Linked DNA regions of Elephas maximus indicus. The protein of the gene in region 1 interacts with the protein of each later gene in a biochemical or structural test. Links are inferred from orthologs where the notes say so. Each region holds a gene or a part of one and is shown in the gene's direction. Other genes may lie near its edges.

Region 1 (15,602 bases):
GATAGGATAATATCCATATACCTACATGGAAGACCAGTTAATACAACTATTATTCAAATTTACACGCCGACCACTAAGGCCAAAGATGAAGGAACTGAAGATATTTACCAACTTCTGCAGTCTGAAATTGATCGAACATGCAATCAGGATGCATTGATAATTACCAGTGATTGGAATTCAAAAGTTGGAAACAAAGAAGAGGGATCTGTAGTTGGAAAATATGGCCTTGGTGATAGAAATAATGTTGGACATCACATGATAGAATTTTGCAAGACCAATGACTTCTTCATTACAAATATTTCAACAACATAAATGGCAACTATACGGACCTTGCCAGATGAAATACCCAGGAATCAAATCGACTACACCTGTGGAAATAGACGATGGAAAAGCTAAACATCATCAGTCAGAATAAGGCCAGGAGCCGACTGCAGAACAATCAATTGCTCATATGCAAGTTCAAGTTGAAGTTGAAGAAAATTAGAACAAGTCCACGAGAGCCAAAGTATGATCTTGAATACATACCACCTGAATTTAGAGGCCCTCTCAAGAATAGATTGGACAAGTTGAACACTAATGACCAAAGACCAGACGAGTTGTGGAATGACAGCGAGTACATCATACATGAAGAAAGCAAGAGGTTGTTACAAAAACAGGAAATAAAAAAGAAAAGGCCAAAATGGATGTCAGAAGAGACTCTGAAACTTGCTCTTGAACGTCGAGTAGCTAAAGCAAATGGAAGAAATGATGAAGTAAAAGAGCTGAACAAAAGATTTCAAAGGGCAGCTCAAGAAGACAAAGTAAAGTATTATAACGACATGTGCAAAGACCTGGAGTTAGAAAACCAAAAAGAGAACACACTCGGCACTTCTTTAGCTGAAAGAACTGAAGAATAAATTCAAGCCTTGAGTTGCAACATTGAAGGGTTTTACGGGGAAAATATTAAACGTCGCAGGAAGCATCAAAAGAAGATGGAAGGAATACACAGAGTCACTATACCAAAAAGAATCGGTCAACCTTCAACCATTTCAGGAGGTAGCATATGATCAGGCACCAATGGTACTGAAGGAAGAGGTCTAAGCTTCACTGAAGGCATTGGCAAAAACAAGCCTCCAGGAATTGATGGAATACCAACTGAGATGATTCAACAGATGCAGCAGGAAGAGCGCACTCGTCTATGCCAAGAAATCTGGAAGACAGCTTCCTGGCCAACCGGCTGGAAGAGATCCATTTTTATGCCTATTTCAGAGAAAGGGGATCCAACTCAATGTGGAAATTATCAAACAATGTCATTAATATCACAGGCAAATAAAATTTTGCTAAGGATCATTCAAAAGTGACTATAGTAGTACGTTGACAGGGAACTGCCAGAAGTTCAAACCAGATTCAGAAGAGGATGTGGAGCCAGGGATATCATTGCTGATATCAAATGGATCCTGGCTGAAGGCAGAGAATACCAGAAAGATGTTTACCTGTGTTTTATTGACTTTGCAAAGACATTCAACTGTGTGAATCATAACAAATTATGGATAAAGTTGTGAATAATGTAAATTCCAGAACACTTAATTGTGCTCATGAGGAACCTGTACATAGAACAACAATCAGTCATTTGGACAGAACAAGGGGATACTGTGTGGTTTAAAGTCAAGTATGCGTTGTTTTAAACTTAGGAAAGTGTGTGTCAGGGTTGTATCCCTTCACCATAACTATTCAATCTGTATGCTGAGCAAATAATCTGAGAAGCTGGCCGATATGAAGAAGAATGGGGTATCAGGATTGGAGGAAGACTCATTAATAACTTGCAATATGCAGATGACACAACTTTGCTTGCTGAAAGTGAAGAGGACTTAAAGCACTTTCTGATGAAGATCAAAGACCGCAGCCTTCAGTAGGGATCACCTCAACATAAAGAAAACAAAGATCCTCACAACTGGACCAATAAGCAACATCATGATAAACAGAAAATACTGAAGTTGTCAAGGATTTCATTTTACTTGGACCTACAATCAACACCCATGGAAGCAGCAGTCAAGAAGTCAAAAGACACATTGCATTGGGTAAATCTGCTGCAAAAGACCTCTTTAAAAGTGTTAAAAAGCAAAGATGTCACCTTGAAGGTTAAGGTGCACCTGACCCAAGCCATAGTGTTTTCAATTGCCTCTTTTGCTTGTGGAAGCTGGACAATGAATAAGGAAGACTGAAGAAGAATTGAGGCCTTTGAATTATGGTGTTGGTGAAGAATATTAAATATACCGTGGACTGCCAAAAGAACAAACGAATCTGTCTTGGAAGAAGTACAGCCAGAATGTTCCTTATAAGCAAGGATGGAGAGACTAAAGTCGCACATACTGTGGACATGTTATCAGGAGGGATCATTCCCTGGAGAGGAACATCGTGCTTGGTAAAGTAGAGGGTCAGCGAAAAAGAGGAAGACCCTGAAGGAAATGCAATGACACAGTGGCTGCAACAATGGGCTCAAGCATAACAAAGATTGTGAGGATGGCACAGGGCTGGGGAGTGTTTTGTTCTGTTGTACACAGGGGTGCTATGAGTTGGAAGCAACTCGATGGCACCTAACAACAAGAACAACCAATTTCAGTCCCCTCACCAGAGGTGTATCAATTCACTGTGCATCTTCCCCCTTTTCTGGGAACTTACAAATATATCTGTAAACACACAGATATTTTGATTTATAAATGGGATTATGCTACTCATATTGTTCTGTGGGAAACACTGGTGGCATAGTGGTTAAGTGCTACAGCTGCTAATCAGAAGGTCAGCAGTTTTAATCCACCAGGCCCTCCTTGGAAACTCTATGGAGTAGTTCTGCTCTGTCCTATAGGGTCGCTATGAATCTGAATCGACTAGATGGCAACGGGGTTTTATTGTTCTGTGACTTGATATTAGATCAAAAGCCTCTCTTGAGTATGGCCCTTTTAGCTCAGTAACGAAGTCACTCCTGAGGTTCACCCTTCAGCCAAAGATTAAACAGGCCCATAAAACAAAAGGAGACTAAGGCGGCACACCAGCCCAGGGGCAAGGACTAGAAGGCAGGAAGTGACAGGAAAGCTGCTAATAAGGAACCCAAGTTCGAGAATAGAGAACACTGACAGGTTTTGGGGTTGGTAAGCAATGTCACAAAGCAATATGTATACTAACTGTTTAATGAGAAGCTAGTTTGTCCTTTAAACCTTCATCTCAAGTACAATTAAAAAAAAACTCTTCATGGCAGCTTATTCTTTTAGAAGGCTGAAAGCATCTCCTTGTATTGATGTACCATAGTGTATTCCCTAAGGAACTTATCTCATTATTATAGTACTGTAGTGAATGTCCTTGTAAATGCCTCTTCGTACACAGTAGAATGTTTCTGTAAGGCACATTGGGAGCAGAGCTGGCACTGTGTGTGTGTGTGTGTGTGTGTGTTCTGAGTGAAGAGAGAGAGAGAAAAGAGAAGGCTCTATTCCATTCCATTGGTCTTGTCTCCTAACAGGGGAGAACTTAAGGCAGTGTGAGGGGCAACTTGGTCCCTCTGAAAATCTGGACAGACACAAGTTTGTCAGATTGAAAATGAGAATGGCAGATCCTTTTTTTCCTGTGGCCTAGCTGAGCAACCTGTCCTGAGTGCCAAAGATATGCCTGGAAGTGTCCTGGGCTCCTTTGGGATGGAACACAAAGTATGATCCCTTTCTGGGAACAGCCATAGCCCAGCCTGGAATAAAGGAAAAAAAAAAAGTGGCAGTTGAGAAGACAGGGTGTGGAAAGGAGGCCAGATGAACATTGCAGACTGCGGGTACTACAGGAGCTGGGGGGAGGCAGAGAGCACAAGGAGAGCAGGAGAAATCAAGAGAGGACTTCATGCAGGAGTGGGGGCCCAAGAGGACCAGAGACAAGAGCAAGCACACAGTGCTGGGTGAGGTGACAGTAACCTGGATAGAAGGTCTGTGCTGAGGAGCCGTGGGATGAAGAGAAGGCTAGAAAGTTAAGTGTGCATACGTGTGCGTATGTGTGCGCGTGCGCGCATACGTTGGGGAGGTGAGTCACCTGACAATGCTGAGAACAGGTGGAGGCTGTGTTTTTGAAGATCACTGGTGACCATGCAGAGGGCACTCTGGAGGCAGGAAAACCAATGAGGAGACTGTTACAACAGTCCGGGACAAGAGACAGAGATGGCTGACCTAGGGCATTGACAGTGGAGGCAGGAGGGAGAGAAACTGTGAAGGACAGATAGACAGTAGAGATTGGTGACCAAATGGCAGGCATCAGGCAGAGGAGAGTTAAGGATGATGGCAATGTGCACACAAAGGACCACACTAACAGCAAAACCACCAACAGATACACAGCCATTGAGGAGAGCTCACGGCAAGGAAGAGGAGTGAGTTCATCCCTTGCAGAGCCTCACATACAACCTGGCACCTAACAGGCACTCCATCACTGCTAGATGCACGGGTGGGATGGACAGATGGATAGGTTCCTTCTAGGTGTATTGAGTTTGCACTATGAGCAGTTCATGGAGGGACCCTGTGCTCAAGGGGGCTGTTTTCCTTCTGGGCCCTGCATGCAGACATACTACGTGTGTAGTCACTGGTATGAGGGGGTAGGCCTAGGGACTAGCGACTTGATTGGGAGACTAGGAGACCCTCTCTGTGGGACTAATTTCACATTCCAAGAGGACATTGACTCAAACTGAATTGATATCGGCTGGCTGGGGGAAGCTCTTGAAAAGCTTTCAACTTTATTACAGGAAAAGACAGAGAAATTCTCTCCCCTCTTACTATGGTCCATTAGTATATTATTAATACTAAATATTCATGTAACCAAAAAAATCAAACCCATTGCAGTCAAGTTGATTCTGACTGATAGCAACCCTATAGGACAGGGTAAAACTGCCCCATAGGGTTTCCAAGGAGCAGCTGGTGGATTTGAACTGCTGGCCTTTGGCTTATTAGCAGCCAAGCTCTTAAACACTGCGCCACCAAGGATCCTAAGGCATTTGATATTGGCAAGATGCCTTATCATTGCTGTTTATTATTACCCACTCACTATCTCAAGCTGTCTAGTCTGACCATTAAGGCGCAGGAGTGATACAAATCGGAAAATATATTTCCTTCCTTGGGTTTGCCTGGTCACAGGTCAGAGCTGAGAAGGTCACAGGTTCAGGCTGATGGAAAGAAGGTGGACTTTGGACTCACAACACCTGGGCCCAAATCCCTGTCCCACCATCAATGAATCATGAGACTCTTGGATAAGTCACTTCACTCCTCAGTGCCTCAGTGTCCTTATTCCTACTTCCAAAGTTTCTTGTTAGGGTTAAATGAAGCTAGATATTGAAATAGCCTCCCCACTGTTTTCGGTACATTAATGTTATCTTCTTTCCTTTTACCCAAACCCTAGCTTCTGTTCTCAAGAAGTGCATAGAAGACTGAAGACGGTTAAAAGCAAGATAACTCCACTGCTGCAGTTTGTATTTTCAGCCATACTGTGCCAAGAGGCAGCCTCTTCCCTTTGGGAAGAGAGCAGTATATTCTTCTGCCTAGTCTCTTGTTTGTGTAAGGGGAACAGCTTGCCAAGTGTTTGGGCTCTGACACATGGGAAGGAAGAGATAGAAGACCTTGAAGTGTGTGACATCAAGCTGGTGTTTGTCCTCATTTCTCCCTGTCACATTTGTCTTTTCTATGAATGGAGAAGAGCAATCTTAGAGACTTAGTTAATTTCATTCCTAAGGATCAACCAAAAGCCCTGAGTGAAGCAGAAGAGATCTAAATTAGATGTAAGGAAGGACTTACCAACTGTGATGGAAATGAAAAGAGGCCCTCAGCAAGTCCTGAGTGATAGATGTACCCCTAGTCCACTTCCTTGGGGTATGTCTGCCATACTCTTACCATTCAATGGATTGGGTGGGGAATGCCTTTATCCAAAGTACCCCAGGAGTGCTTTCCATCTAGTTGCTCTCTGATATTGCTCTCCAGCACTGCATCCTCTGAAGGAGGAATGCCATTTAGAATGCAGAAGCTTCTGTATCGCAGTGAGTGCAGATCTCGGGTGGGAATGATATATGGGGAGGTGATTACAAGTCCAATATCATTTCTCTCTAGTGCTTGCATACATAGGTTGTCACATAAATCAGCCATATGCGGTTCTTTCTTGTCATTACCATGACTTTTACTCCCAGACTTACTTAGCTCCAGAATAATCCCCAAGAAATCCTTGGCCTTTCAATCTGGTTCTCATATTTGGCCATAAAGTTCAGGCCAAATCTCCTCTTTTAGCCCCTACTCTTGATCTGGATGTTCCCAGCTTCCTTGAACTCCAGCTGCAAAATGTCCCTGTACCACCCTCTGCTCATCCTGTCTCTCACCTAGCTCTACCACTTGAAAAAGACTTGCCTGCCCCTCCTTGAATTCTCTGAATTCAACTCTTCTAAAAACTCAAGTCTCCTCATACCTTATTTCCCTCTCCCAGGGAAACCAACCTTTGTGGGGATGTTTAGCCTGTTACTATCTCTTCTCTCTACAAACACTGGCATAAATCTCATCATATCTATACCCAGTTGTGGAGATTACTCTGGCCCCAGGAAGATTGAGCTACTTCTCAAACCACCTAAGATCAGAATAGTGGGTGGGAGGAAATCAGAAGTTCTGGCTGCATAGACACGGAATGGTTTACAAAGAGGCGGGAAACAAAGATGTGCTTCCCTGGCAATCTTGAACAAGGGAGCACCTCAGCTACCTTTGGTCTGCTTTGGAGGCAGGCGCATAACTGAGATGGGTCCCTCCTAGCCAGAGAGTTCCATGTCTAACCTCTAAGCAATGACCAGCTGTTTGACCATAATCACCATAACTAGCTTGTATCTGGCTCTAGCCCTTATAATTTCTTGCTTCAACTATTACAACAGCTTCTTACTGAGCTCTTTGCATCCTCTATTATCCTCTGACTCCATTCTATACACTAGTTGCTTGACCTAGTGTAAGCCCTTTCTGTTTTCTGATCTTCAGTTCCCCCAACCTGAAGGGGGCTAACCTAACCAGTTTCAGATAGTCTATGCTCTCTCCTTCCCCATTTCCCACCCATGTCCTCCCTAGGGGCTGAAATCCCACCAACCTCCCTCAGCCTTCTTTCCCCCTACTTGCTTCCCTAGCTCCTTCACCCTCTGACCTGTTCCTCCCAGCCCAAACTTCTGTGGTCCCCTTTCCCTTTAAACAGTGTACTTAGCTTCCTGACACTCCCTAACTAGCTCCTGTGTATGTGTGGGGGCAGTTGACATGGGAGGTGAGAAATGACACACAGAGGGTTTCTACCTTCCAGACTGGATAAAGGAAGTTGGAATCTCCAACTTCCCCTTCCCCTTTAGGCATTCAACCTAGCTAGTGTCAAGCCCCTGTGGGTTCTAAGTGAACATGAATAAGGGAATCAGTGAGTTCTTTGAACTTCTAGGAAGAAAGAACCATGGTGGTGTCAAGGAATGTGATTGGCTGCCACTGCTACCCCTGCTGCTGAGGCTTTCCAGGGAGTGCTGCTCTTCCTCTGGACAAACTGCTCAGCTCAATAAGGCCTCTTGGGTGGAGTGCTTTGTTTGCCATAACCCGTTGCCTTGGAGTTGACTCTCACTCATAGCAACCCAATAGGACAGAGTAGAACTGCCCCATAGGTTTTCCAAGGAGCAGCTGGTGGATTCGAACTGCAGGCCTTTTGGTTAACAGCTGAGCTCTTAACCACTCCACCACCAGGGCTCCTTGCCTGCCCTAGGACATATCAATGAAAGAAACCGAGGCACATTAACTCATGGACACTTTTGAGCTTGGGTGAGGGGGAGGAAAATAGGACTGCTGGTTCCTGAGTACAAATACAAGGCCAGCCCATATGCAGCCCTGCTAGGCTCATCTATGTTCTAGAGTGTCTACTTCCTCTCTCACCCTTTTAAAACGTCAGGATGGGAAAGGATCTTGGAAGCCTAGGAGTCCAGCCGTTTATTATTACAGAAGGGGAATCTCAAGTTGAGAGGGGAAGGAACTTGCCCAAGTCCATTCAGTGGTCAAAGAGTGAGTTAATGGCAGAACCACAACAAGAAATCAGGTATTCTGACACACCCTCCCCACTCAAATATCTTTTCCACTGTCCGAAGCTGGCTCCCTTCACTATCCCTCAAGTGTCCTAACTCACAAAGAATACTGAGACCATGCTTCCATAAGGTTGCCATGGATAGGAGAAAAAGGGACTATGACCAATCACTTTCAAACCACAACTCAGAATTAAACAGATAATTGCTACAGCCTAGAACACTGCCACCCTGAGATTCTGTGACCTTGACAAGAAGTAGAAAGAAAGCTGGCAGTCACACCCCAAGGGCGTGGACTAGGGGTGCATCTAACTTGGGGAATTATAGCCTCATCAGAAAGTGAATGTGTTTGTACCGGGGAGGGGCTGAAGGATCCACACAGATTTGAGGCAAGTGAGAACTGGGATTTGGTGGAAGGAAAGTGAGTAGAGGATATGGAGGAGCCTAATTCTGATGAAAATGAGGACTGAGCAAGGGTAGGGAGGAAATATGGTGGAAGAAGGGATATAGAGTCCTACAGAAGAAATGGACGAAGGGTTGAAGGAGCTGGGGCTGTTTAGCCAAGAGAAGTTTCAGGGGGGCCTGGGATCCATCTTCAGACCTCTGAGGAGTTGTTACTTACCCTAGGAGCTCCTTGGAAACCCTGTGGGGCAGTTCTACTCTGTCCTACAAGGTCGCTATGTGTTGGAATCGACTCCTAGGCAACAGGTTTGGTTTTTGGTTTTTTTTCCTTAGGGAACAGCACGGGGGGGGGGGTGGGTATGTACTCAGGGAGCAAGAGCTGAGATCCACTGGTGGCAGCCACATAGAAAAGGAGCTCATATACACAAAAGGAAGAACTTTCCAAGAGGGCTGTCTTAAGAGGGAACAGGCTATCTTGAGTTCCTCATCAGTGGAAAGTTGCGGCCAGGAACAGCAGAAGCATCTGCCAGGGCACAGCCCAGGGTCCTGCCCTGCGTGGGGGTGGGGCTAGTTGGCCCTGACGCAAAGGGCTAGGGGCTGTAAGCGGGGGTGGGGAAGGAGCGGGGATGAGAGCTCCCTTTGGGCTGCTCGGGCCTAGCCCGGCCTCCCACGTGGCCAGTGTGGCATTGCTGGGCAGGGCTGGGTTGGGTGGGGCGAGGCCAGCGGCTCGCGGGGAGGCGGGCGCAAGGGCGGGGAGCGGCGCGGAAGCCCGGCCACATAAAGGAGCTGGCGGCGCGACGGGGGCGGCTCTTTCCTGGGTGGGGTTTGTGAAGTCGTGGCCCGTTAGCAGGAAGCCGAGCAATCGCCCTGACGCTAGAGAGGGACCCAGTCCGAGCGCTTGGCCCCCGAGCCTGAGCAGTGTGTATTGCGTGCCCAGCGCTGCCCGACAGCTCCCAGCCAAACTTCGCCAACTCCGCCGCTTTATCCACCACCATGCCCAGGACGGTGAGTGCCAGGGGTGGGTGCTTCCGGCCCCGGGGGCTCTAGCCGGCCCCCGTGGTCCCTTGCTGATGACCAGTAGCTTGGCTAGTCACCCGCCCACCTGAAATGCTGGGACCTAAGCCAAGGCCCAGGGTGGGGAGGAGGCGGGAATGGGGTCCTTGTCTGGTGTGCCCTGTGGGTGAGAGGGTCCCTTGGGCTAGAAGTGTGGGCAGGATGGGGCCGGCCTCTTTCTCAGGTTCCAAGTCTCTGCGTTGGTGATGCAGCAGTGGGGAAGACTTCGTTGGGGGCCCGGGGTCTCCCTTTGCCCAAGATGGGCTGTGAAGACAGGAGAGGACTCTGGTATGGAAGGGAACACTTCTCTCAGCTCAGGAATTGGCGCCTTTCTGGGGCAAGGCTGCTATTGTCCTAGAGGAGCCATGGGAATAGAGGAGGGAAAAGGGAGGGAACTGCTCAGGGCAGGTCCTGCACCCTCTCTCACCTTTCCCACAGCCTCCCTAGGCAGCTCCAGATGTTTCCCACCAGGAGAGGAGGAAAGAGTTGTGGAGGAATTCATAGCGGTTGCTCTCTTTTACCCAAAAGCACCAACACTTCACTAGGAAAAAATTTTCTTTTTGTTTTTGCTCTCTTTTACCCAAAAGCACCAACACTTCACTAGGAACCAGTCTGAGGAGAGAACTGCCCCACCTTCTGGGGGAGAAGACTAGTTTCTCCCTTCTCCCCACCAGCCAAATCCTTGTCTTCCTATTACTTAATGCCCCCTTCTCCTCTCCTATCCCCTCAGGACCATCCTGTGAGTGCCTTCTAGACATTCTGTGAGGTGTGAGTTCTCTCTTGTAGGACCACACCTTTTTAGAGTAGTGGTTGCCTCTGGGATCTGTCTCCACCCCACAGGCTGTTAGGTGAAGAGCAGAAGCCTTCTGGGAGTAAGGCCTAGTGGGGCCCGGATGCCCAGGAGGAGGGGGTGGGGAGGGGTATGCCTGACTAATGAGCCCTGCTTGCTTTTGTGCAAGTCACGCCAAATGGCTGCTGGGGCCTTTCCCTTGCTCGGGCAGGCCTGGTTTGAGTCCCTTAGTCCAAGCAGCTTGTTAGGTTATGCAGAGAGCTCCTGATCCCCCTCCCTAGGACTGCCAAAGCCTTGTAGAGTGGAAATAGTGGCTAGTAGCCTTAAGAAGGGCTAAGGGCCCCTGAGATGAGAAAAGTTGAGTGTGGGGCCTAGTTCTCTGGGTGTATGCTGAGCTTCAGTTGCCACGTCGCTGTGTTCCAGTCTCACTGCCAAGTCTTTCTTGGCTTTCCAGAACCCTGCCTTTCAGAAACATCAAGTTTTCAGCACGTATAGGTTTTCACCATCTCTCTCTTTTAAATTGCTGTTGGTTTTACCACTTGAGGCTTTCCCACACTGTCTTCCCAACACCCTTCCTGCAACAAGTGAGAGAGAGTGGTTTTAGAGGGGTTGGTGTAACACTGTCTTTGCCAACACAGAGGATTATAAAGATTCTTCCAGGAGCCTCTCTTTAGTCTTACCTCTCTGTGGTTGACTCCTTGAATCCTCTTAAGGTGTGGCTTTGACTGAACAGTTGGGTGGATCTCTGGGAATAGTCAGCCCCATGACTTCTCTTCCCTAGTGACGTCTTTCGTCCTTAATTCTGAGATATGCCACCCTTAAACAGAACTTGATGGGCCTGGAAGTTGCTTCAAAGTTGCCTTAACCATCCCATCTTAGTCAAAAGTGGCAAAGAATACAACATGGTGATTCTTCTCATGGGTATGAAGAGATACTGGAGTATGGGGTCACTCCCAGGGTATTGAAGATGCCTGAATACTAAAGGTATTTTTTATGCAGACTAACTGAAACTTGAATCATATTGAAGGAGAGGGCTGAATTTTGATACTGGAAGCACAAGAATTTTCCATGCTGTTTGGTTCAAAGAATGGTCAACTTTTAGGAGAAACAACTCCTAAACATGCCTGTTAAGACCATAAATTTTAATCTGAAAGGAACCTGAGAGACTATTTATCAACCCCCTACGCTGACCCACTGATTGGGTTCTTGAAGTCTGAGTCCTCTCTCATGCCCAAAGCAAATTGTCCCCTGTTTTCAGGCCTTTATGGTCCTCAGATTAAAGGAAGTTGGTAATTTGGGCAAAGTGACCAAAGTTAGAATTTCTGTGGTCTCCTGGTAAAGTTGGGAGTGTCACAAGGTGTCTTCTGTTACTTTTCTCATTCCTCATCCCAATGCTGGAATGTCCAGGGGCACACCCTAGTCCAATGCATACCAGCTAGTAACTTTAATGAAAGGGGAAAAATTCCCTATTCTCCACCTCTTCTTCAGTGGTGTGTTTTAGGCTATTTCTGGATTATGACAGATAGGGAAGGGTAGTGGAAAATCAAACTCATTCATTCATATGAATGATGTCTACAGACTATCCAGGGTTGGTTTCACTTTTACGGCCAATTGTCTCTCCTAGTCTGCCCAAACCAAACAAAACAAACCTGTGGCCGTCGAGTCAATTGCGACTTGTAGTGACCCTATATAGGACAGAGTAGAACTAACTGCCCCACAGGGTTGCCAAGGAACCCAGCTGGTGGATTCCAACTGCTGACCTTTTGGTTAATGGCTGAGCTCTTTAACCACTGTGCTACCAGGGCTCCTCTAATCTGCCCAGCCTTTCTTAAATCTGTTAAAACATCCTCTCCCCTGACCCACTCATTTGTGGACTCTGCTTCTGGATGCCAGTTTCCTCAGTCTGCTTTAGTAGCTGGAATGGAGGAGCTTATTAATTGCCATCTGTACTTTATAGTGATGATTAGACAGTTCTAGAAAAGGTCTTACCCCCTTCCTACCCTCTGTAATTTTTTTAAGCTCACAAAGGTTTTGGGGCTGTCCTGGATTCCCTAAAAAGAGATTGTTTTGAAATTTTGAGATGTTCTTGAGTTTTTGGTTTCCCTCTTTAGGATTTATGAAATGTCAGAGTTGAAAGGGCTCTTTACAACTATCAAGTCCAAAACTCTCTCATTTTATAATGGAGAAACTGAGACCCACAGATAGTAAGGGACTGACCTAGAGCCACATAGAAAGTTAGTGTCAAAGTTAGGACTTGAATCCAGATCTTAATAAGAGAGTCAATCTCAGTAAAACCTCTTCAGTTTGCTGGGTTTTCAGCCCTAGCTTAACAAATCAGGGGAAAGGTGTTCAAGTGGTCATTTTCTAGGACTGTTCATGTGAGCAAACATAGAGCCCAGCTCCTTGAAGTATTTGAAGGCTTCTGAGTCTGCATTCAGCTAAAGTTTAACAGGGGCTGTGTGGACTGTTTATTGTGCTGCCATTCCTAGCATTGCTTGAGCCACTCGAATGGCACTGAAGTGGCACTTGGTGAATAGGAGGTAGACTCTCATACTGTTAACCCTTGAACCAGTTCTGCCTGCAGCCTTCAGGGGTGGGGTGAGAGATCAGGAATGGAAGTTGTGTGTGAGAGAAACTTTTTGGATCCTGCATCTCCACTTCTTTGGATCCATAGCCTACTTGACCCTTTGTGAAAGCACAGATGACAGACAAAATGCAGGAACCATCTTGGAGATTTTCTTTAGGCTTCTCCTTGAACATATCTCTAAGCAGACAGGAGCTGGTGGAGCAGGAGGGCCTATGGGACACTCGAAGACACCAACTAATCTATACTCTCTCTTGTTAGGCTTAGAGAGGAGAAGGTTGTTCGGTGAGTCCGTGACAGAGGTTGACCCCTGTTCTGCTAACTTTCCATTATTCTCTAGGTGCCTGTAACAGTAGCTTGTTTTAACAGTGTTATTCTTACTTCTCCCTGGCCTCATCCTCTTGGGAGATTGCTTTACTGAGTGGTGGAGCTGGAAAGAATATTAGAGGTCATCTGGTCTATCCCCCTTCCTCCAAATCTAATTCTTTCTGGATGAGATGAGATGACGGCTATAATTATTTTGAACTCTGTTCTGATAGTGTTGCTTGGTGATATTCTGTCTAGGTTCCTTTGTATCTCCCTGAGAGTCCCTCTGCTCACTGGAATTTCTGGACTCAGGGTCCCCAGAGGGGAGAGGACCTAGCTACCAACACCACCAGGGTTTGGCCTATCATGACCACAGTTGCTGAAAGTTGGTGTCATTACAGGTTGAGAACAGTCTGTTTCTGATCTTTCAAAGACAGAACTGAATTTATCATGTGCTTCTCTTCCAACCTACAGTCTTCTGTCCCCACTGCCCCACCCTACTCTTCCACCTCAGAAAAACAGACAGAAAAAAAAAGTACAAAGGTGGTCTCCTTTTGGGCAGTCTATTGGTCAAGTGAAGGGAGTGGTCTTGTCATGACTGACTAGTTTCGCTGTTCATCCTTCCTTCCATTTCATGCTTGATAGAGCTGAAAAACTTCAATCCAAGTTCTAATTTGTGATACAGGAGCTATCACTTGGAGGGTTAGCTCAGGACTCCATTAATTTGAAAGATGGATGTTGGGAAATGGAAAGTAAACTGAACTGAGAATATATCTTCTCTTTCCATCTAACCCTTCCATGTATGAATTATTTTCCACTTGTGATTTTCTTTTGATTTTTTGTTTTTTCATGAATGGAATGCATGCTGAATCATCGAGTGTGTCTGAATTTTTGGTAGGTAATGTGGATTTTGAATAATATTATGTGGAAACACACATGTTCCCCTGCACTATGGGGGTAGGTTATGTGTGATTATGTGGGACACATATGTCCCTCTAGTCTCCGGGGGTAGGATGGTGGTATGAGAAATACAATTTCCAGATAACACACAGGAACCTGGAAATATACTTACAAGGCTTATCTCACTGTAAAACAGCCAAAAGAGGCAAAAGTTTTGCACAGTCACACCTCCAGGATGCACCTCCTAATACAATACCCTGTAAAAACAGTAATTTGCAGTACACACACGTTTCTTCTGTTTCAAACAGTTAATACACGTCCCTGCCTGGTGGCAGCACACACTGAAAGTGGGAAAGCAACTTCCCAAGAAATCTGAGAGGCAGAAAATATAGATGAGAAAACTGTCCCATTACTCACGAAAGGGATAAGAAGATCATCTTTTTTGTCCTCAGGAAAGTTTTCCAAATGAAGTGAGCCTTTAGGCAAGTCCTTTCTTCAGGACTGAACTGATGATAGAGCTGGGACTAAAATCCAAGTTGTCTGGCCTCAGTGTAGGGGAAGAACTGAATGCCTGCCTTCTAAATGACACTCATTGACGAGGACTCTGTGTTTTCTCCCTCTATGCCGGGGTGACTTGACCATGGTGTAATTATGGGCATGGGAAGAGCAAGTGTGTAGAGCTGACCTCACAGGCTGCCTTATATGGAGATGGTTCAGGTTCTGATCATGCTGTGGGGGCTCTTTGTGGCACTTCCCAGGAAGGTGAGTGTTCTGCTTTGGCTGTGAAGGGTGGTGGGAGGCAGATGTGTGTGCTGAAGGGAGGTGGGGAAAGGTGACTAGCCACATTTTCCTGCTTGAGAGCAGGCCTCACTGCCTTAATATGCTTTATGGAAGAGAGTAAATTTTTCTCCTTATACTAGCCAGAGGGGTCAGGAATCTTGTTTGGGTTTGCATAAAGTTGGTAATAGCATTGAAAGTAGAACTAGGCTTTCCTAGTTTCCAAGTTAGTGCTCTCCCACTGGGCATGACTGCCTTGGAAGAATGACTCTTTACCCAGGTGACGCAGATTTCCAGAGAATTGGCTCTGTGTTGATTACGTTAACAAAATGGCTGCAATGGAGTTCCCCTAAATAGCTTCTGGTGTAGCAGGTTTCAGTGAGTCAATGACTCAGTTCTTCTGGGGCCTCAGAATGACTGTTTTCTCTTCCTGCCCCTCCACCCAAATTCCCCGCTTTCTTGTTGTCCTTTTTAATTTTGAGCTCTGACCTTGTATTCTGGTTCAGTGCTCCAGCTTGACCTGCTCTTTGAGTTAGGAGAACATTATGGTACTTGTCTTTCCAATTTGGTGATAACATTTGCTGCTGTAAGCAGCTATTTGAATACAGACTGGTGTCTCCTGGCTTCAGCCCTCACCACTCACCTCTAGGTGCTTGTAGGCCAAGCCTGCAGCAGGTAAAAAATGAAAACAAAATTCATTGCCATGGTGTCAATTCTGATTCATGGCGACCTCATGT
Region 2 (15,602 bases), on another chromosome or scaffold:
AGACTGTCCTGTTTGCTGCCTCATGGGACTAAGGAAAAGAGCTAATGAGGTTGCGTATGTAAAACGCTTAGCAGAGAGACTACCAAGAGGAAGTACTTAAACCTTCTGTATGATTGTCATTCTGGTGTTTGCCAAAGTGTTTGTAGGTAACAGGATGTTACTTGAGACAATGATATAGTCAGATTCGTTTGTGAAAGGCAGTCCAACAATTCTCTTTCCCACAGGATTTCTAAAGACCTTCGTGTTTTGAAACTCTGCTGTTGGGACATGCTGTTTTAACAGCAATTGCTTTTTATAACATTTTCCTAAATAAATTTTTCACTCTAATTAAAAGATTTTTTTTTTGGAGACATTGGTAGTTCAGTGGTAGAATTCTCGCCTCCCATGAGGGAGGCCCAGGTTCAGTTCCTGGCCAGTACACCTCAAGCTCAGCAGCCAGCCACCCATCTGTCAGTGGAGGCTTGTGTATTGCTAAGATACGGAACAGGTTTCAGCGGAGCTTCCAGACTAAAATGGACTAGGAAGAAAGGCCTGGCCATCTACTTCTGAAAATCAGCCAATGAAAGCATTATGGATGACAATGGTTTGATCTACAAGCAATCATGGAGACGGTGCAGGACCAGGCAGTGTTTCGTCACCGGGAATCGGAGGCTGACTGATGGTAGCTAACACCACCAGGATTGACACGGTTCAAAATTCAAAAAGCACTTAAGAATGGGCAGTAAAATGGCTCCTTCCTCTGTCCATCTGCCATCTCTTTCTTATCCCCAGAAGCAACCAATGTCTTCAGGTTTCCTATGTTTGCTTCCAGAGATCTTTTATGCAGATACAAGGAACTCTGCATATATGTTATATGCTTTCCCATCTTTTGCAAAAATCGCATGCTCTACCATACAGAGCTTCTACTCTGTATCTTGCTTTTTTTGTTTGTTTTATATAATAGATCCTGGAGATAGTTCCATGTACCAAGGCATCCAGAAGGTCTTCATTCTGTTTTATGATGATTGTGTAGTAGGTCTCTGGGTGGTGCAGTTTGTGCTTGACTACTAAACTAAAGGTTGTCAGTTCAGATCCACCCAGTGGCACTGTGGAAGAAAGGCCTGGCAATCTGCTTCTATAAAGATTACAACCAAGAAGAACCTATGGAGCAGTTCTCTGTAACACATGAGTTGCCATGAGTCAGAACTGACTTGATGGCAATGGCTTTGTTTTTTGTTTTTTTGTGGCCCATTGCTTAAGTGTTAACAACGTTTGTCCCCAACTGGTATTCTTGTAGGACCCCTAGTGGTGCGGTGGTTAAGAACTCAGCCGCTAACCAAAAGGTTGGCAGTTCGAATCCACCAGCCACTCCTTGGAAACCCTATGGGGCAGTTCTACTCTGTGCTTTAGGGTCGTTATGAGTCAGGATCGACTCGACAGCAACGGGTTTGGTTTTTTGGTTTTGGTGTTCTTGTAGTTCGATTCCAACCCTTCCCGTTCCTATAATGCTGCTGCAGTGAGTGACTGTCTCACCCATGTGCAAGGGGACCCTAGGATGTATATTCAGCCGTGGAGTGGCAGGTTGCAGGGTCTGGGCCTGGTAATTTTGAAAGAGGCTGCCACTATGTTTGAATAGTTTATAGAACCGTTCTCTCCTCATTCTTTTTTCAAAATTATCTTGACTTAATCTTGCGTAGTTATCTTTTTTTTTTTGAACATTTTCTTATGGACGTTTTAAAGCATATTCAAAACTAGAGACATTAAGATAACCTGTACTTAGCTGTCACCCAGCTTCACCAGTTTCCAAAGCCCATGGCCAGTCTAGTTTCAGTGTTGCCGCTACCCCAGCCCCTGACACCGGATAATTTTGAAGCAAATCGCAGACATCGTTTCACCTGTAAAAACCTCAATATGTATCTCAAAAAGATAATGACTGAAACAACCACAGTATCATATCATTATCAACCTAAAATTAATAATAATTCCTCAGCATCATTGTATGGCCTCTTAGTATTCAAACTTCTCCAATTGTCTCTTAAATATTTGTTATTTGTTTATTTGTTTACAGTTTGTTCGAATAAGGATCCAAGGTCCACATGCTGCATCATTAAATTCCAGGTTCCCGTCCTCTTTTTTCCTCTCTGGCAACATATTTGAAGAAAAAACCAGGTTGTTTGTCTGGTAGACTGCTATCTTCGCGGTGGCTTATCGAGTTCCTCTGAGATTCCTGTGAAGTCTTGGTCAGATTCAGTTTCACTTTTGGGGGGAGACCTCTCCGCAGGAGGCATTGTGCTTTCTCAGCAGGGGGCACAGGGGGTCCGGCTGACACTCCTTTTGTGACATGAACAGCCTCGGGGCTCTATGCCCTGATCCATCAGGATGCAATTTTTACTTTCCAAATGTTCAAACATACAGGAAAGTTGAAAGAATTGCACAGTGACCACCACTGGATTCCACAATTAATATGCTGTTAAATTTGCTGCTAACTGAAAAGTTGGAGGTTTGAGTCCAGCCAGAGGCACCTCAGAAGAAAGGCCTGGTGATCTACTTTGAAAAACTCAGACATTGAGAACCCTACCGAGCACAGTTCTACTCTGATACATGTGGGGTCACCAGGAGTCGGGGTTGACTTGACAGCAAGTGGTTAAATTTGCTTTAGCATACTGCATCTCTCCATCTCTCCATTCCTCCACCCCCCTCATGTTTTGAGTGCAAATCAAAATAGGTGGATGTAATTGTTTTTAATATGGCTTTTCCCGTGAAATATCCTGCTAGAGTTTCAACAGGATTGCAAGCCCTGATGTCTTTGCAGTTTTGAGCAGTATTTCCCCACCTGAAGGGGTCCTCAGAAATTCACAAGATGAGAGGTGTCACTGTCAGGACTTGTCTGCTTAATCTTCCAACTCCCTGTGCCTCCTCGGGCAAGTCACGCCACTTTTCTGAACTTGTTGCCTCAGCTGTAAAATGGAGAAAACCAGGGGCCTCGTGGGCTTAGGGCGAGGGTTAGATATATGCTGGGCAGTGTGCTGAGCTCTGTACATGTATTAAAGTGCTCAGTGATCACACCACTCCAGAAGGGAGCACTGTGATTGCCATGTTACCATTGAGGAGATGGCAAACACGGCTCAGGCTTGAGCCCAGTCAGCCCTGTGAGCCCCGTGAGGCGGTCCCACCCCCACTGCTGTGGACAACAGGGTGCAGTTGTGAGGCCACAGACTCTGCATTAGGTCCTTGTGTGCTGGTTCAGCTCACTGGCTGCTCCTGGCATCTCTAGAAGGTCGTTTTTAGTTATCCTAGAGCTGGCTCCAACCCATGGTGACCCCATGTACAACAGAACGAAGTGTTGCCCAGACCTTCGTCATCTTTGCGGTCGGTGTGCTCAAATCCATTATTGTGGCCGCTGTGTATTTTAAGTGCCTTCCAATCTAGGGGCTCATCTTCCAGCGCTATGTCATACGATGTTCTGTTGCGATCTATAGGGTTTTCATTGGCTAATTTTCAGAAGTAGATCGCCAGGGCTTTTTTTCTAGTCTGTCTTAGGCCGAAATGCTCCACTGAAACCGGTCCACCATAGGTGACCCTGCTGGTACTTGAGATACTGGTGGTGTAGTTTCCAGCATCACAGCAACACACACAAGCCACTACAGTATGACAACCTGACTGACAGGTGGCAGTCTAGAAGGTGGGGGCTCTGGACATGCCCACTTCACAGATGAGGAAGTTCAGGGTGGGACAGTTCCAACACGGTGTGATACAATAGCAGATACTTCATATCTTTCCTGGGCTGGGGAGCACCCTCTCCTCCCACCTGTCTCAAGCTCAGACATTGGCCTTTCACGTTCTAGGGTCCTGTTTTCCCACCCAGGTGGGGCAGTCATCACTCATGTCTTCCAGAGACTTGGTGGCCACTGCCACCACACTTCTTCCTGGGCTCCCCGCTTCTCTCTTCACTCCCTCTTGGCCCAAGGGACCAAGCCCCTGGCAAGATCTACCCCCCACAGGGCAGGGTTGGGAGCAGGGAGGGCACAGACATCGCCTGTCTCCTTTGCCAAGGGACATCTGTTCTTTGTGAATCACCTATTAGGGCAACATCCCGGAGTTCACAGAAGCCTGCGAGGGTCCCACAAAAGGATTTCAGGGGTCACAAGACCCCCAACCCATGTACCAAATTTCTGTGTGTGTCCATCCAACAAATATTCATTGAGAACCTACTGTGTGCCAGACACGGTTCTAGTCACTGGGGTACAGCAGTGAGCTAGGCAAAGATTTCCGCCCTTATATTCTAGGTGGGAGAGGCATTCAAGGGGCAGTAAGAAAAAAAAAAAAGGGGTTAGTAAATTATAAGTATGTTAGAAAGTGATGAAAGAAAAAACAGTAAATTATAAATATGTTAGAAGGTGATGATTTATGGGGACAAAAGGTAAAGCCTAAGGCTGAGTGACAGTTGTAAAATGGGTGACCAGGTGTGGTGAAACGAATTCCTGTATATGGCCTTTTACCTTGGTTCTTTGAAAAAACAGCTTGAGATTTTTTTCCCCGTAAGGCCTGAGGGGTTATCTTTGTCCTAGTTTTCTACCCCAGAGGGTTTGTTACTTTTGTCCAGGTTGATTGATATTTCCTGGGTAAATTGTGAATAACTTGATTTGATACTTTTGGTCTGGTCCTGGGCTGCAGCCTGCCCTGTGATTGGTATGCACCTTGCAGGGATTTGTTGATAGACTATGCAAATGAGAGGAGGTGTAGCCTACTATGCAAATGAAGTGTCTGAGGCCTACTGAGAGGGGATTGGTCAGCTTGTGCCCACCCCCATTGGGAGGGGCCATGCCTTGAAATTGACAAGCAGTTGTGTATATAAGCAGCCAGCACCACAGAGGTTTTTGAGATAGAAGCAGGAAGAAAAGCAGCAGAGAGAAGAGACAAGGAACCTCCTAAAAGGGCTGTAACCCAGGTCAAGAGCCATAACATTAAAGACAGCAAGGGACCCAGTGGCAGGGCCAGGAGCGACAGGCCCAGCTTGGGCCCATGGCAGAGTGGGCAGTAATGGATGGCAAGGCCAAGAGGAGCCTGTCCTACCGAGAGGAGCTGAGAGAGCTGTCCTGCACTGAAGAAGGGGACTCTGCCTACATGCTTCCTGATCCTGAGTTGTAGTCTGTTACTTCCTGAATAGACCACTTAACTATGCTCTTTGAGTTCTGTGTGGCCACTGCAACAGATTATCAAGCCCAGAAGAGAAGTAGAGTGCTGTGGGAGGAGTGGTTGGTGTCAGAATCGGTAAAAAGGCTGGAGAGTGGAGGTATGTTTGGTCTCCAGCTCATAGTGATCAGCCTTGGGCTGATCTTGAATTGCATTGTCCTCCCTGAAGTTAGACAGGTTCTGATGCTGCTACTGATACTGCTACTAGTACTACTACTGCCCCCATTTTACACCTGGGAAGGCCTCACCTGAGTAGATGGAGGTGAGGGAGGAGCCATGTCCCCCCGTGTAAATATAGAGTGGTCCAGGCAGAAGGAACATCATGTGCGAAGGCCCGGAGAGGGGACTGTTCTGGGTGAGTGGTGTGGTCTTGAGGCACAGCAGAGAGGCCAGTGTGGCTGGAGCAGAAAGAGGAGAGGAAGCTGGGAGGAGCTAAGGGCAGAGGGGTCCTGAGCAAACAAAAGGAGCAGCTAGGCCCAGGCAAGGAGTCTGGAGGATGTGAAACAGAGGGAATGACGGGATTTGATTTGCCTTTTGAGTTGGTCTCTCAAGAACTGTGGCAAGCGGATCTTTTGGGGGACAGAGCAGCAGCAGAGAGACTTAGTTGGTGGGATCTCCAAGCAAGAAGGGGCGGGTGCTATGGCCTTAGGGATGGGGAAAATAGATGAATACCAGGCACGGCACTATCAAGGCCCTCAACAAGGTCTCTCTTATAGAACTGGGATAGAGGCACAGGAAGTGAGGAGGCTGGTGGAGAGCTGAGAGAGGCAGAGAAGGAGAGAGGGCAGGGCCGGGGGGAGGGGAGGGGAGGAGAAAGGGCAGAGCACTTTTCTTGGAGTGAAGAAACAAGCTGGAGGGGCAAAGGCAGGGTGCAGGACAGGGGTAAAAGCCAGTTACAAGTGGCATCTTCAAGACAGTGGCCCAGGACTCGTTCCTAAGACACCTGCCTTGGCACTGCCTGCAGGGAGTGGGAGATCCTCAAGATCTTCAAAGGTAAAGGACCTTCAGGGGCCATGGCCTTGCTCAGGGTCAGCACAGGGCCTGGCATCTAGTAAGCGCTCAATAAATGTGGGTTCTGTTCATTTTTATGGCATCTCTCATCCTAGGGGTTCCTCACTGTCACCCCCAAATTCTTTATTTGCCCCCCAGAATGTTAAAATTTCACACTAACTTCTTGAGGCTATGCTTAAAAGTCTCCCATTGTCACCCCCTTTGAAAGTTTGCCTTGAAATCCCACCTAGCGCCTCGAGGACAGTGCCCAGAGGGCCCCCCCCGCATTAACTTCCCTTTCTAAGGACCAATCACCATCTCACCCAGTTCTGAAGGAAGGTGTCTCATCACCCCCGCCTCCCCGCAGGGTCCCTGTTGGTGAAAACAAAGGAAACCAGTTGTGTTAGCACTTCCTGTGGGTTCACCTGGGAGCCAGCAGTGCAGCTAAGGTCTGCCCTGTCAGAGACTTGCCAGTGCCCAGCGACCCCACCCCCACCCCCGGGGCTTCTTGGGCCCCGCACCTGCCGAGGTAGCCCACTCTGGGGCCACAGAGAATCCCCCTGCCCCTCCCTGGGCCTGGCCACAGTGCAGCCCCTGGCTTCTGCCATCCTAACCGCCATTTCCGTTCCCTGGGTGACCTACCCACCCCCTGCACTGCTGGCACCTCATCAGGGCACCTTTTCCCCAAAGACTGACCACCATGGTGCCCTTGGCACCACTGCTCCAGGCCTGCCTGTCTCTGCTCATCCTCCTGCTGCTGGTCTGCTGCCTGCTGCCCCCAGGTGAGTGCCTAGGGTTGGGGGGACTAGTAGGTTGGGGGCGGGGAACGGAGAAAGCACAGCTGCCCACATCCTGCTGGTCTGGTTGCTGTGCGCCTTTCTGGGAACTCGAATCTGATCGGAGCTCCTCCATGTCCTCTGGAGAAAGTCGGGCTCCTTAACTGGGCTTCAGGGATCCCCACAGCCCGGTCCTCTTGTGTGACTTGTGCTACACACGCACACTCTCCATGAGCCATCAGGACCCCCAGCCCTTTGCGTATGCTATTCCCTCTGCCAGGAACACTTTTCCCTTCTACATGGCTAACTCCTATCCACCTTTCAGAGCTGGCTGTAGGTGTCTGTTCCTCCAGGAAGCCTCCTGTAACCCACTCTCTCCTTTAGGGTGGATCAGGGCCTCCCTCGGAATTCTCCCCGTTTTTTTTTCTGGTCATCTGTCTTCCCCACCAGACTGCTTCCCCTCATATCCCAGCATGAAGAGGGGGCCTGCAGAGGGGTGGGTTGGGGGATACTGGAACAGCCACCTGAGCTTCCTCATGCCCCCGCAGGTGCCCAGGGGCAGGTGTCCCCCCTGCGGGTGGAGCCCCAGAACCCAGTGGTGCCCACTGGAGGGTCGCTCCTGGTGAACTGCAGTGCTGACTGCCCGGATCCTGAAAATATCATCCTGGAGACGGCCCTGTCCAAGCAGCCAGTGGGCAGTGGACTGAGCTGGTCAGCCTTCCAGCTCAGCAATGTGACTGGTGACAGCGACATTATCTGTGCTGGGTTCTGCAATGGCTCCCAGATTAGTGGCTCTACCAGCATCACCGTGTACCGTGAGTGGACGGGGCTGGCGACTGGCAGCGGGCAGCAGTTGGGGGCTGAGTTTGCAGGAATGGACCAGGGCTCTGACCCAGGGCTGGACCTGGACGTGTGTGTGTGTGTGTGTGTGTGTGTGTGTGTGTGTGTGTGAGAAAAACAGAAAGACAAACACATACAGACATACATCTCAACCTTTTGCCAGGGGCCCAGTTGTGAAATCAATTTATTTGGGTCCCAATGAGCAATTTTTAAAACGTTATCTCATGTCTTTTATTTATTACTTTTATTCTGATGGTAGGTAAAAATTAATGTGGTTCAAAACCCAAGAAATATAAAAAGATGTAAAGTAAAAATTGTCATTTGCCTAGCACTCACTGCATATGGGCATTATCTTAAGGGCTTGACACCTATTTGTTCATTCAATCCTCACAAAAGCCCTGGGAGGTAGGTGCAGTGATAAGCCCCATTTCACAGACAGGGAAACTGAGGCTCAGTGGGGTGAAGTCACTTGCCAGTGGCAGTCCAGCATCCAAGTTTCTGCTCTTAACAGGTAGTCTTTCTTCCCAGAACTTCTATCCCTGTTACCAGTGTTTTAGACATCCTTTCAGAGTTTCTCTGCATTTTAAAAAATAGAACAGACTAGAAAATAACAGACGATGTCACACATAGTGACTACTATTTTGTGAAGGCTTTGTAAGTGAATGTAGTGTACCTGTCTGAGATTATGAATATGCCCGTGAGTTTGTGTGTGTGTGTGTCGGGATCTGTGTGGCAGTTTTTCATGTACTTACGTGTTTGTCCCTGAGCCTATGTATCTGTGTATGTCAGTATTCGTGCGTGTCCGTGTGAACGGACATATATATCTGTGTTAGTGTCTGTCTGTACGGGTGTCTGTGTCTCTGTGTTTGTGTGTGCCTACAGCTGTGTGTGCCTGTGTGTACGTGTCTATCTCTGCATGTGCTGTCTGTGAATATATATGTCTGCAGATCAGTATCTGTGTGTATGTGTCTCTGTTGTTGTTGCTGTCAGGTGCCCATGAGTCAGTGACTCTACATACAACAGAACGAAACACTTCCTGGTCTCGCGCCATCCTCAAAAGCATTGCTGTGTTTGAGCCCACTGTGACAGCCATCGAGTCAATCCATCTCCCTGAGGGTTTTCCTCTTTTTTGCTGACCCTCTACTTTACCAAGCATGATGTCCTTCTCCAGGGACAGGTCCCTCCTGATAACATGTCCAAAGTACATGAGATGAAGTCTCACCATCCTTCTTTCCAAGGAGCATTCTGGCTGTACTTCTTCCAAGACAAATTTGTTCTTCTGGCAGTCCATGGTATATTCAATATTCTTTGCCAACATCATAATTGAAAGGCAGCAATTCTTCTTCGGTCTTCTTTATTCATTGTGTAGCTTCCACATGCACATGAGGTGATTGAAAATACCACGGCTTGGGTCAGCTGCACCTTAGTCCTCATCTAAGGCTGGGTTCTCTAGAGACACAAAACCAGTGAAGTGTATAAATATATATATAGAGAGAGATTTATATCAAGGAAGTGGCTTATGTGGTTGTAGAGACTGGAATGTCCCAAGTCTGTGGGTCAGGAGGCTTCTCCTGATTCACATAGCCGCAGTGCCTGGAGAACCCAAGATTGGTAGGTCAGAGAGCAGGGCTGTTGCTCACAGGCTGTGAAGACTGACGAATCCTGAGATCGGCAGGCAAGACCACAGGTAAGATGCTAGCTTAAGTCCCAAGGACCAGAGGCCAGATGAGCAGGAGCCACCTGCAGGAGCCAGCTGCAGGATCCAGAGAGAGTAAAAGCCCACCAGAATGTCCCTTGTCAGAACGTCCACTTATATTCGATGCAGGCCACACGCCCAAGGAAACTCCCTTTCAACTGACTGCTCACAGCAGATCCCATCATGGGGGTGATCACATTATATCAAATCTCAACATGGAAGTGATCACAACATCATACGATTGCCAAACCACTGAGAATCATGGCCCAGCCAAGTTGACACACAATCTTAACCATCACAGTCCTTAAAGTAACATCTTTGCTTTTTAACACTTTAAAGAGGTCTCTTGCAGCAGATATTTCCAATGAAATACGTCCTTTGATTTCTTGACTGCTGCTTCCATGGGCATTGATTGTGGATCCCAGTAAACTGATATCCTTGACAATACTTTCTTTTTATCAAGATGTTGCTTATTGGTCCAGTTGTAAAGATTTTTGTTTTATGTTGAGGTATAATCTATACTGAAGGCTGTAGACTTTGATCTTCATCAGTGTTTCAAATCCTCATTGTGTCCTGGAACAGAAGAGTCTGAAACTTGCTCTTGAACATAGAGTAGCTAAAGCTAATGGAAGAAATGAAGTAAAAGAGATGAACAGAAGATTTCAAAGGGTGGCTTGAAAAGACAAAGTATTATAATGACATGTGCAAAGACCCAGAGTTAGAAAACCAAAAGGGAACAACACTCTCAGCATTTCTCAAGCTGAAAGAATTGATGAAAAAATTCAAGCCTTGAGTAGCAGTATTGAAGGATTCTACAGAGAAAACATTGAATTGCACAGGAAGTATCAAAAGAACATGGAAAGAATACACAGTCACTGTACCAAAATAAATTGGTTGATGTTCAACCATTTCAGGAGATAGCATATGATCAAATACCAGTAGTACAGGAGGAAGAAGTCCAAGCTGTACTGAGGGCACTGATAAAAAACAAGGATCCAGGAATTGACGGAATACCAATTGAGATGTTTCAACAAACAGATGCAGTACTGGACGTGCTCACTTGTCTATACCAAGAAATTTGAAAGGCAGCTACCTGGCCAACAGACTGGAAGAGATCTATATTTGTACCCATTCCAAAGAAAGGTAAGTCAATAGAATGCAGAAACTATCTAACAATATCATTAATATCACACCCAAGCAAAATTTTGCTGAAGATCATTCAAAGGCGGCTACAGCAGTACATCTACAGGGAACTGTCAGAAATTCAAGCCAGATTTAGAAGAGGACATGGAACGAGGGATATCATTGCTGATGTCAGATGAACCTTGGCTGAAAGCAGAGGATACCAGAAAGATGTTTTACCTACGCAAAGGCATTTGACTGTGTGGATCTTAACAAATTATGGATAATATTTTGAAGAATGGGAATTTCGAAACACTTAATTGTGCTCCAGAGGAACCTGTATATAGACCAAGAGGCAGTAGTTCGAACAGAACAAGGGGATGCTGCATGGTTTAATGTAGGGAAAGGTGTGTGTTGGGGTTGTATCTTTTCACCATACTTATTTAATCTTTATGCTGAGCAAATAATCCGAGAAGCTGGACCGTATGAAAAAGAACGTGGCATCAGGATTCGAGGAAGACTCATTAACAATCTGCAATAAGCAGATGACACAAGGGCGGTGAGGAGCGGACGGGTCATTGGCAGGGCTAGGGAGGGGGCAGTCATGAGCAGAGGGGACGAAAGTCCTGCCACCCTTTCCTGGGGCATTTTCATTGCCCCGCCTGGAATATCCTCTTGGGACATTCTGCGGCATGGGTCACCCCCCCACCCCCCAGTGACTCTGTATTCTTTCCATCTTCTTTTGATGCTTCCTGCGTAATTCAGTGTTTTCCCTGTAGAGGCCTTCAGTACTGCTACTCAAGGCTTGAATTTTTTCGTCAGTCCTTTCGGCTTGAGAAATGCTGAGAGTGTTGTTCCCTTTTGGTTTTCTAGCTCTGGGTCTTTGCACATGTCATTTCAAGCCACGCTTTGAAATCTTCTGTTCATCTCTTTCACTTCATTTCTTCCATTAGCTTTAGCTACTCTATGTTCAAGAGCAAGTTTCAGAGTCTCCTCTGACATTCATTTTGGTCTTTTCTTTCTTTCCTGTCTTTTCATTGACCTTTTGCTTTCCTCATGTATGATGTCCTTGATATCATTCCACAACTCAACTGGTCTTCTGTCATTAACGTTCAATGCATCAAATCTCTTCTCGAGATGGTCTATAAATTCAGGTGGGGTATACTCAAGGTTGTATTTTGGCTCTTGTGAGCTTGTTTTAATGTTCTTCAGCTTCAACTCGAACTTGGATATGAGCAATTGATGGTCTGTTCTACAGTTGGCTCCTGGCCTTGTTCTGACTGATGATATAGTCAATTTGATTCCTGTGTATTCCATCTGGCAAGGTCCATGTATATAGTTGTAGTTTATGTTGTTGAAAAGAGAGAGGTATTTGCAATGAAGAAGTCATTGGTCTTGTACCATTCTATCATGTCTCTGTATGTGAATGTATGTGTATGTCCATGTCAGTATCTCTGTGAATATGTCTGTGCCAGTATCTGTGTCTGTATACATGTTTTTGTACCTGTGGGGCTACTGTGTATATCTGTGTGTTTGTCTGTGTGTGTGTCCCTGTCTCTGTTCATGTGTGTGTCTGTGAAATTTGCCAGGATCATGACCTGGGAGTGGACCTGCCTGTGCATCTCTCTGCTGACACTCCCTGGGATACCTCTGTCCAGTGCTGAGCTGGAACAGTCTGTCCTGGCTCATGAGAGTCAATTGTGCTCATCCCTTCTCAACTCCGCATCAGTGTGGTAGCTTGTAATCAGCCATAGTGAGAGTATTTACACCACAGAAAATGGCAAATGCTGTAAGTCGGGGATTTCCTTCCCCCAACCCTGACAGCCCAATTACCAGCATTTCCCAGCAAACTAGAGTCCCTGGCCAGTGGTACCCAAGGTTAAGATCATACCTTCCTTGTTAAATATTCTAAAATTGTAAATATTTAGATACTAAATATTTTTCCTATCAGCCCGTCCGTGGCCTCTGTGCTTGAGTTGTCAAGTGTGAAAGTGAGATGTTCCCCAAAGGAGGCCATGGCATTTGTCTGCCATGGGCATGCAGCTGCAGCTGGGAGGAAACTGGCCTGGGGACCCTTAAGACCCCCCAGACTGTGCCAGAACACCCTGAGGAGGCCACACGTAGCAGGTGAGGTGAGAGTTTTGGGTGCCCGGAACTGATTGGGGAGGGCTGGACCAAGTTCTTCGAGTGGCGACGGCAGGGTTCTAGGCCAGGATGGAGTCCCTGGACATGACAGCAACGAGGCCAGTGGACACCTGGGTCTAGAGTTTGGGAGACCTGGGCTAGCCTGGGCTCTGCCACTTCCTGGCTGTGTTCTTGGTAAATCACCTCACCTCTCCTGGCCATCCATAAAAGGAAAAAATAGAGCAAATTTCACTAAGCTGCTATGTCGATGAAAGCGGGTGACACCTGGAATGCCTAAGGAAATCTCTAAATAGAAACTTTCTATGATTACTATGAATATCTCAAGTGATGATAAATGTTAGTCCCCTTCCTTCATGACTTTTTGTTCTTAATGGTGAGATCCTTGGGAAATAAAAATCTGACTTTTATTTTAGGGCCTGGCAAGGTGTCTAACAACACAGGAAACAATAATGACACTAACGACAATAGCAAACACACAGGTGCAGTTCTAAGCCCTCTACCTGGACTGATTCAAAGTTCACAGTTCTGTGTGGGGCCTCCCTCTGCCTCCCCCCACTCCTGGAATGGGGGCTACAGGGCCAGCTGACAAATGCCATCTCTACCCCCACAGGGCTACCGGAGCGCATGGACCTGGCGCCCCTGCCCCCCTGGCAGCCAGTGGGCGAGAACTTCACTCTGCACTGCCAGGTATGGGGCGGAGCTCCCCGGGCCAACCTCTCCATGGTGCTGTTTCGCGGGCAGGAGGAACTGGGCAGGCAGCCCGCAGTGGGGGAGCCTGCTGAGGTCACGGCCACAATGCCTGCGCGCAGGGAGGACTACGGCGCCAACTTCTCGTGCAGCACGCAACTGGACCTGCGGCCCCAGGGGCTGGGACTGTTGGAGAACAGCTCGACCTCCAGGCAGCTCCGAACCTTTGGTGAGGCGTTGGGATGCCCATAGAGAGGGCGGGTTTAGGGGGGGAGAGGGGTTCCTGTTTGGGGTGCAGAACTCCGGGGGAGGTAGGACCTCTGCCTGCGGGGTACTGGATTGCAGAGGCTTCTGGGAAGAGCTTCCCCGTAGCCACTGGAGTAGGGTGTCCCGGGATAGGGTGCCCACGGCAGCAGGGTCTTTTGAGAAAGCTGTGATCTCCGGCCAAGGGGTGGGTGTGTCCTGGGACGGGGGTGACCCATGCCGCAGAGTGTCCCGAGAAGAGGATATTCCAGGCGAGGGAATGAAAATACCCCAGGAAAGGGCTGCAGGACGTCCATGCCCTTTGCTCACACTCGCCCCTCTCCCTAGCCCTGCCAATGACCCGTCCGTTTCTCACCGCTCCTCGTATCTTGGAGGTGGGTAAAGAGACCGCTGTGAACTGCTCCTTGGATGGAGTGTTCCCGGTCTGGGAGGCCCAGGTCCACATGACGCTGGGGGACCAGATGCTGAATTCCACGGTCGTAAGCCACGGGGACGCGCTCAGGGCTACAGCCATGGCCACAGCGCGCGAGGAGCAGAAGGGCGCCCAGATTGTCTGCAAGGTGACCCTGGCAGGAGAGAGCCGGGAGACCTGGAAGAATGTGACCATCTACAGTAAGAAGGGGCGGGGCGGAGCCAGAACGGCTCAACGGGTGGAGCAGAGGTGCCCAGCCTCTGGCCTCTGTAGCCCGATGGGCGTGGCAGAAAGAGAGCAAATAGGGACTAGCTAGTTGGGGAGACCGGGCCACAGGAGCCCAAATGGAAGGAGTTGCACGTGGGCGGGGCCTGAGTAACCCGAGAAATAGAGTTTGAGCGCCCTAAATTGGGCGGGGGCTCACAGGAGTGAGAAAGTGCGAAGAGGGCGGGGCCTGAGGAGCCAAAAGGCGGGGTCTGGACAACCTGAGAAGGAAGGGGCGGTGGGGGCGGGGCTGGCCGACGGGAGGGGCATGGCCAAGAGGACTGCTGTACAATGCCCGCCCTTAGGCTTCGTGGAGCCCATTCTGAACTTGAGCGAGGCCAGCGCCTCTGAGGGTACCATGGTGACTGTGACTTGCATGGCTGGGACCCGAGTCCAAGTTATGCTGGGCGGGGCTCCGATCATGGCCCCGGGGCAGCCCGCCCAGCTCCAGCTAAACGCCACCGAGAGCGACAACGGGCGAAATTTCTCCTGCAATGCTACGCTGGAAGTGGACGGGAAAGTCCTGCACAAAAATAGAAGCGTCCAGCTAAATGTCCTGTGTGAGTTGGTCACCCTGACCTTTAATTCCCTGCTCCCCTGAACTGAAAAGACTTGACTCTCCCTTGCCCCGTTGTGCTCAGGGTGTATTAGGTGTGTCTGATCACATGGCTGTTCCACAGACGGTCCCAAGATTGACCGGACCAAATGCCCCCAGCGCTTGATGTGGAAAGATAAAACTTACCAGGTCCTGCAGTGTCAGGCAAGGGGCAACCCGGATCCCATGCTGCAGTGTTTGCAGGAAGGCTCCCGTATCAAGGTGCCCGTCGGGATCCCATTCTTCGTCAGGTTATACCATAATGGCACCTACCACTGTCAGGCCATCAGCCCGCGGGGCATAACCACCGTGGAGGTGGTGATGGAAGTTCAGGGTGAGCCGAGGCGGGGCTGTGGGTCTGGACGGGTAACTCCAGGACTGGCCAGGGCGCGTCTTCACTCCGCGCTTCTCTGCACAGATCGGAACGCCCGCTCCGTCACCATCGCCATGGTGGTGTTACTGGTCTTGAGCCTGGTGATTGTCACAGCAGCCTTACTGTACGTCTTCGGGGTGCAGAGGAGGAGAGGCAGCTACTGCGTGAAGCACGAGAGCACTTCGCTGCCTCTCACGTCTACACAGCCCGACGGGCTGCCGGGGGAGGAGCCGTCCTGAGCTGCGGGCCTCCGAGATGCCAGGCCA

What was found.
Region 2: the proteins of MSN (region 1) and ICAM3 form a complex in vitro, tested with the Homo sapiens proteins (2 studies listed by BioGRID). The link is inferred for Elephas maximus indicus from reciprocal best matches to the Homo sapiens genes MSN and ICAM3.

Annotation. Positions count from the first base shown.
Region 1 is NC_064846.1:108,663,698-108,679,299, forward strand, and holds the start of MSN (moesin), read left to right. Parts: upstream 1-9,240; 5' UTR 9,241-9,448; coding exon 9,449-9,460; intron 9,461-15,602. UniProt on the Homo sapiens protein: Ezrin-radixin-moesin (ERM) family protein that connects the actin cytoskeleton to the plasma membrane and thereby regulates the structure and function of specific domains of the cell cortex.
Region 2 is NC_064821.1:28,436,914-28,452,515, reverse strand, and holds ICAM3 (intercellular adhesion molecule 3), read left to right. Parts: upstream 1-6,017; 5' UTR 6,018-6,862; coding exon 6,863-6,944; intron 6,945-7,486; coding exon 7,487-7,753; intron 7,754-7,759; exon of another isoform or gene 7,760-12,611; coding exon of another isoform or gene 12,612-12,723; intron 12,724-13,127; exon of another isoform or gene 13,128-13,154; coding exon 13,155-13,220; exon of another isoform or gene 13,221-13,351; coding exon 13,352-13,657; exon of another isoform or gene 13,658-14,019; coding exon 14,020-14,304; exon of another isoform or gene 14,305-14,673; coding exon 14,674-14,928; intron 14,929-15,048; coding exon 15,049-15,297; intron 15,298-15,381; coding exon 15,382-15,575; downstream 15,576-15,602. UniProt on the Homo sapiens protein: ICAM proteins are ligands for the leukocyte adhesion protein LFA-1 (integrin alpha-L/beta-2). ICAM3 is also a ligand for integrin alpha-D/beta-2. In association with integrin alpha-L/beta-2, contributes to apoptotic neutrophil phagocytosis by macrophages.